2 linked regions of the Danio rerio genome follow. The protein of the gene in region 1 purifies or fractionates together with the protein of each later gene. This does not show direct contact. Links are inferred from orthologs where the notes say so. Each region holds a gene or a part of one and is shown on either strand. Other genes may lie near its edges.

Region 1 (3,831 bases):
GCATGTTTTTGAACGGCGGGAGAAACATCAGCTGGCTTGGAAAGGACTAGAACCAGTGACATTCTTGCTTTGAGGCAACAGTGCCACCCATCTAGGAAAGGAGGAAGAGTAGGGGTGGAAGGGGGGATTCTTCAAAACGAAGATGGCTGTTATATGGAACTTAAGGTATTAATAGTGGCTTTTGAATCGTCTGATTGGTGAATCATAAACTGAATAATGCGGGAGTGACTGCAAGCAATCATAAGCACGTGATCCTCTCGAAATTAGTTTACAAATAAACTTCACTTTGGGACTATATTTTCCATGTATTAAATAATATGTCAAAGTTGTAATTTAGAAGAAAAAAAAAACAGTGGTAATGTGACTTCCTCACCTGTAGTCTTTCAATGATGTTGCGATAGTCTCGAGAGGTGGTCAGAACAGAGTCTCTCCGAGTCGCGTTACGGACAGAGAGTCTCCAGCTGAGGGCTGTTTTCTGCACAATGTTGTTGGACTTCATGAACAGATTATTCACCTGACAGTCCAGATCCACAGGAATGGCTATGGCTCTGCCTTTGGCTGCACATTACACAACAGCAAATCTGTTGAAATATCCTACATGATGAAATATCTTAAATGATGAAAACAGCTGCTGGAGAGGATGCTCTTACCCACGTCACTCAGCACTTTGATGCAGGCTTCCACATTCCCCTTCTGACCTGGGAGAAGCCAGTTGCAGTGATATACACGAAACACTCCCTGCAGCAGCTGCACAAACACCGGCTGCCGGGTCTGAGACACAAGGAGACATAGATGGTACTTTTACACCTTAGACTACCTGCAAACTTGTGCTCTGGTCTGATAGAAAATACATTTCATTAATTAGAATTAGTTTTGAAAAATCTGTCCTGATGAATCATTCAATGACTTGCTCATAAAACTTCAATAAAATGAAATAAATCAAAGTTTTGAGCGAATCTCTTGAACTTAGAAGCCACATTTTCATGCAGTGCTGTGAATTGTACTTTACAATATCACATAAATTGTTTATAAACAAGAATTGTTTCCATCCTATTGTTTCTAGTGTTCAAAAGATCAAAACTGTCACAAGCTTAAAAAATGTGCAAAAGTACTAAAAGCAGAAATGAAATGGGGGCTACCTGCAAACTTGTGCTCTGGTCTGAGAATGGTGAGCTGAAAAAGGTGGTGACGATGCTCATTATGGTCTCTGTAACGTATCTCTCCAGAACTGTGTCAGCGTGTTTACGGTCACTTGTGTTATTGCACACCTAAAGGAAAGTTGAGTATGTGATTATCCAGACCCTCTTGACCATGTATCAACTGAAAACCATTGGTAATTTGAGTCTTACTCTGCAGACGTCCACCAGAAAATCATCAAAAAGTTTCCACATGTGATTGCTGGTGTAGATCTCCTTCATCTCAACCTCTGTATCAACATAACAGTGATTCAGGAAGTTCACGTAGGCCATCTTCACCTGCAAGCGCAATTATAAATTCTTATTTTATAAAGTCACACATCCCAGTTTGGCTACTAATACTGGAAAAAAAAAAAGACAATTTTTATTTTGGTTGTGTAATAGAAGAATAGGCAAGCTTTGGGACAGGGGAGTCAAACTCATATCCTGGAGGGCCGAAGCCCTGCACAGTTTAGTTCCAACCCTGCTCCAACACCCTTACCTGTAGGTTTCAAACAAGCCTGAAGGACTCAATTAGTTTGATCAGGTATGTTTAATCAGGGTTGGAACTAAACTGTGCAGAGCTGTGGCCCTTTTGGAACTGAGTTTGACACCTGTGCTTTAGGACATGCTACTTTGTCATTAATTAACAGTTCTGTTAGTTATGGCCAGATATAATCCTTGGACACTTTTTTGCAGTTTCTGCGTAGAATTTTTGTGGAATTATTTTGAGAGTGTAGTAACCAAAAACTTAAAATATGAAGTAACAAATAATCACTTTTTAACTTTTATTTAAGGTTTCCAATGCAAATCTTATTAGATCCACAAAGCAAGTCTCTCACATATCTACTAAAAGACAGAACATATTACTTTACAAACTGTACTATAAATATTCATGTAAACATTTGCATATTAATCAATAATACTACTGAAAATAATGTAAAAACTGAATAAATATATATTTAGACTCATTTAGTAAAGAAACTAACAAGTAAAAAAATAGACTCAATGATGGGCTAAAAAACTTGCGCATTTCTGCATGAGCAGATTCCTTACTCCATGGGAAATTAAGTAGCACATTCAGCTGACGTTCAAGGATGTTTCATGCAGATACATGTTTATAAAACTTTTAAAATACTGTTGCAGACGGAATATAATCCAGATAACATGAAATAAATAGTTAACATCAGGTTTAGATTTTAATCATTATTCATTCAATCCCAGATACAACCTCTATACGATTAACCATCGTATCCACAATGTTAGTCGTTTATCAAAGCTATTTACCTATTTAATGTGTTGTGGGAAACATTAGTCATTAAGAGTCTGAATTCAACTAGAAAAAGTAGATTAGCAATATCCAGTTTAACATATTACAATTTGTTATAGACAATTATTTGTTTATGGACTGTGCAGCATCAGACCAACAATTTACTTTAGGTTGTGAAGCAATCCAAAAAGTGCACACACCTCAGGGATGCAGTCCTCATGTGTGACCACACGTACAATATCATCGAGAGGGAGCAGCGAGTTGCATTTGATCTCAGTGTAGACGTTCTTGCCTTCAGTGCACACAGCCAGCAACTCCACCAGGTGAATGTGATACCTGTAAGAGTGAGCATGAAGTCTTATAATGACAACAACAAGTACGCAACAAACCTTTTCTGACTTTTTAAATGCAAATGAGAGATGTCATTGTAACCTCATTGTGAGTGCTGAAAACTGAAAAATTCAGAGGCAGAGCACAGATATTTACAATCATAAAACAAGATATTCTGCACCAACTTCAACAAATTGAACAAATATTGACATTTGTTCAGTTCATACTAGCATGATTCAGTGCAGTTTTCAACGTTAAATAGATACAGTAACAATCTATATTGTAATATTGTAGAGACAAGACGTGTTTGGGCAGTTTTATCTCCGAACCTGAGTGCACTGCTCTCATCAAGTCGTTCCCGCTCAAGACGCATCATCTGAACCAATGACTGAAAAGACGCCCGGTCATTATAGAACACCAGCACATCCTCACCTGCAGTCACCAGCTACACAAACACACACATAAAACATATTTACTAAGTAATACTCTGTGTATTTCAGCAGTCTCAAAACTGTGAACTTCTATCTGGTCAACAAACCTCAGCCATGACGATGTCTTGGCATTTCTTGATGAACTTGTTCTCTGCCTTGACAATGGTCTGCAGGAACTTGAGGTAGTGCACGCTGCGGCCGTGTGTCTCGATGCAGTGCACAAAATGCTGCACGACCCGCTCATTAATCTCACTACACAACTGGAAATTATTCATGAAGATATGCTGCATGGTCACCGCCTCCAGGATCTAGCAACAGAGAGACCAGGAGAAGTATAAGAATGAAAATTAAAATCTCTCTCTGTGTTGGTTTTTTGTTTTTGGTTACAATATAATAACATGGGTATGACCTAGGTAATAGAATGTTAAGGTGGTTTAAGAGGACTTGCCTTGTGTTCTTGTAATCAAAACTGTAAAAATAACAGGTTCATTTTCAAAAAGCCAAAGTTTTCCAGTAAGGACTGGGGTTTAGGGTAGGGTTGAGGCAATATAAGTGTTGAAACTCCGCGGACCCGGTACCAGGTCTGTGACGTCATGGACTTTCGCTTTCAGATTTAAAGGGCTAG
Region 2 (3,831 bases), on another chromosome or scaffold:
CAGAGAATCTCCTCCAAATGCTTGTAGAAAGTGCTGTTCTTCTGCTCCAGGCAGTGATCCATGAAAGAAAAACATGAAACTTAGCACACCGGAAGACGGCTCTGTGAGTTGCAAAAGAAACATGCTCTAAATAAATTTCCCTGAATAAATATATTAAAAAAACAGATATAAAACTCAGAGGTGAACTAAACCTGAAACATAACCTGCTTCAGAGATTTATATGTATGTTCCTTAATGTATTTATCACATTTTCAATAAAACGCTATTATAAAATAAGATTTTTTTGTACTTTATTTTATTAATAAAGCTTTTTTTATGATGAGCAATATACATTTAATTATTTAATATATATTTAACCTGTAATGTGAACAGCATACTTTTTGTTCATAATAAAAATATACATCTAACATCAAGATTACAAACTAATGCATGACAACCAACCAATGGGGGGAGAAACTCACTAAGAATACAACTAACCATTAAACAGAAGAAAAAGAAAGAAGAGGCGTTGCGTGCTGCTTTAATGATGACTTATGGTTTTGGCATGCTGTTGGGAATCTCTTTTGTGTTGAAGGTTAATATAACATGATTTAACTGAACTTAACCTGTATGCAGGTTTAAGGTTAATCACCATAGAATTTAGGATTAATGTGAAAGTAAGTTAAACTTGCTTTCTGGAATAAACCCCAGGCAATGAACTAGAGGAAACAGGAACCTACTGTAAATGCACAAACAGGTGATACAGATATTGTGAAAACGAAGGCAGGAAACAGAACAAAGGACAAAAAAAGAATGGTGTTTTTTTGTTTTTTGTTTTTTTACTTAATCATACTTGATTCTTGCTGTTTTGTAATTTTTTTTCAAAGTTAAACATCTAATCAGAATTATTTACCAATATTTTTTACTTTAAACTTTACCCTCTAACACTAAATCAGCTAGATTAGTATCAGTAACACTTTTATTAGTAATTTTTGGAAACTGCATGGCTTACATACCTGCTAGATTCATGCCAGTAATTTGGTGTGCTCTATATAATGCAGTGATTGAATTAGGAGGACGTTTTTCTCTCACACTTGAACCACATCTAACAGAAACATATATATCTGATAATTGTGCAACTTCATCTGATGTGATCCTGCTCAACCAAACATAATTTCTTACTTTCCTTTGTTTAATATTTTGTGTGTTTGTTCATGTGTTCCTCAGGGAGAGTGAGAGAACAAAGTTACTGATTGCAGCTCAGACTCAGAAGGTGGTGGAGAAAGAGGCAGAGACAGAGAGGAAAAAGGCTGTCATTGGTAAGCAAAGATGTTTTTCTGAGTATTAAACCCGAGTCTGTCTTGTATCATGGTGAATTGGTTTCCGATTACATAAAAGTGAAATAATGTCACTCTGTTTTATCATGTTTGCAGAGGCAGAGAAGGTGGCTCAGGTGGCTGAAATCAAATTTGGACAAAAGGTTATGGAAAAAGAAACGGAGAAAAAGATCTCACAAATTGAAGGTAGGTGAATGTGTATTCACGAGTGTTCAGAGGTCCAAGAAATCATGGAGAATAAAACTAGATCAGACTAACCATATGGACATGTGGGCCTTCATCTTATTAAAATATCAGTCTTTATTTATGCTTCAGCATATTATTAAATAAACAAGTGACAATAAATACATTTATAATATTATTAAAAATATGGGTAACACTTTAGTTTAGGTCACAATTCAATGTATTAATAAACCATTAACAACACTACAAACTTAATAAATGACTAATTAGCTGTTTATTAAAAGTTAGTTGGGTAAAAGTTGGGTTTAGGTTGTGGGTAGGATTAGGTATGCGGGGTAAGAGCATGCTCTATAACTGCTAATGAACAGTTAACATCTTATTAATAGACAGGTAATAAGCCAGCAGTTAATAGCATGAATTGTGACCTAAACTAAAGTGTTACCAAAATATGTTTCAAATAGACTGAACTAATAAAATGAACTTTTTTATATTTTTGAGGTGGGGAAAAAACAGGTTCCAGAAAAACAAAGCAGCAACTGTTTGTGCTCAACATTGATAATAATCAGTATTCCTTTAGTGCAGTTTCAAAACATCACGCTTGAACACTTCAGAAAATGATAGAGAATAGATTCTGTGCAGTACTGGCAAATCATGCTGTTAAGTTTAGGTTCATGTTAAGCAAATGGTCTGTTAGCTTTAAAGCTTAAAGTGTCTTGGAGTTTGTCTCCTTAAAGTGAAAAATCAGGTAAAACAGAATAAAAAAATAAAGCTACAAGGAAATAGAGCATTGCACTCCAAAAAACATATGATGTGAATACAAATTATGTGTTATTGTTTGCATAGAATTAGCTACACAGCCATTTAGTGGGAATGATCTGTCTGGTCTGGCCTGCCTGCCCATCTGTTTTCTACTGTGCAGTTTATTCAGGGTCAGGTTTCTTTACCTTCTTACAGCAATTCTGGGAAAATAGACTTTTCTGAGCCAGCAAACTAAATCACACTCACTAAAAGTCAAAGTATTGTGGTTTTTATGTTAACATCGGTTAGAAGATTGGTTTGAACAGTCTATGAGTAATTCTAAACTAACGTCAAGCGAAACTCTTGTGACTCTTTCTTCTAAACATGCATTGGAACTATCGTGTAATAGTTTGTCATTTTTATTATAACAGTGTGTATTGTGGATTTAAGGGCCAAAGAAGCTATTTTAATGGTTTAAATGTTTAGGCAGTTCATGTTTAAGTTTTTGCATAACTTCTTAAACTTACAATACAATATACAACTACTGTATATGAGTAGCTCTTTAAGGATGATAGCTAGCACAGCTCATATGATGGGTCATTAATAATGATTGAGGTCTCAGTTACGCTCAATGATAAATCTACTACAGTGTGTTGGACGAAAAAAACAAAGCCAAATCAAAATCTGCTTTCAGATTTAAATTGCAGAACTTTTTTTGTTTAGACGTACAGTATCTGTGCCATGTTGGCTTGACAAGTAAAAGGTCTGTTGTGTATATACTGTCATACTTGGATATCCTCTGTTCTGATTTGTCCAGCGGATATTGAAACTGGCCAGAATATGTTTTGTAATACTCAACTGGGTTTTGAGGGCTGGCTGTAAACGGAGTGACAGCTCTGGCTGAAGTGCAAGAACGTCAGTCTCAGTCATTTTTCCCTACATTAAACAAATAGTACCTTTGAAGGACCATGCACGCTCAACTGGGATCATTCATATCACTTGCCTAATAAAAGCTGTTTAAGATGTGTTCATACTTTTGTGCCGGAATTACGAGCATCCAGCTTGTAAAAAGAATAGAGCTCATAATTAGAAAGATTTTTCTGACAACTATGACTTCATGGATGTGGATTTTGCAGTTAAAGGGATAGTTTACCCCAATAATACAAAATACTGTTTATTTACACAGCCGCAAAAAATTTTTTATTCTTCAGATAATTATTCGTATAATTAAAGTCATTAATTAGTAATCCTTTGGGACATAAAAAAAAAAACTATTTACAGGCAAAACAAGAGTAATACCTGTGGTTCCTGTTGATACATTATGATCTTAAGAAGCAAAGCAACTGACTATTTTTGCAACATTGTTACCTTTAATCCACATGGGCTAATATCTAAATCTGGTTCTTTTCTGTGAACCGGTTGTTTACAACCTTGTAAAGTACTTTTTAGTTCAAAAATCTGACTCACCAGTCATCACACAGTAAACATAACGTACAAAATAATGTAATTCAATCATTCATTCATTGTCTTGTCAGCTTAGTCCCTTTATTAATCCGGGGTCTCCACAGCGGAATGAACCACCAACTTATCCAGC

The links.
Region 2: the proteins of itpr1a (region 1) and erlin2 purify together in Homo sapiens (affinity purification with western blotting, with the first as the bait; 4 studies listed by BioGRID). This does not show direct contact. The link is inferred for Danio rerio from reciprocal best matches to the Homo sapiens genes ITPR1 and ERLIN2.

What each region holds. Positions count from the first base shown.
Region 1 is NC_133181.1:42,512,366-42,516,196, reverse strand, and holds part of itpr1a (inositol 1,4,5-trisphosphate-gated calcium channel ITPR1), read right to left. Parts: intron 3,515-3,831; coding exon 3,314-3,514; intron 3,221-3,313; coding exon 3,105-3,220; intron 2,782-3,104; coding exon 2,646-2,781; intron 1,476-2,645; coding exon 1,350-1,475; intron 1,269-1,349; coding exon 1,140-1,268; intron 772-1,139; coding exon 651-771; intron 559-650; coding exon 374-558; intron 1-373. UniProt on the Homo sapiens protein: Inositol 1,4,5-trisphosphate-gated calcium channel that, upon inositol 1,4,5-trisphosphate binding, mediates calcium release from the endoplasmic reticulum (ER).
Region 2 is NC_133180.1:36,102,439-36,106,269, forward strand, and holds part of erlin2 (erlin-2), read left to right. Parts: intron 1-1,206; coding exon 1,207-1,298; intron 1,299-1,412; coding exon 1,413-1,502; intron 1,503-3,831. UniProt on the Homo sapiens protein: Component of the ERLIN1/ERLIN2 complex which mediates the endoplasmic reticulum-associated degradation (ERAD) of inositol 1,4,5-trisphosphate receptors (IP3Rs) such as ITPR1.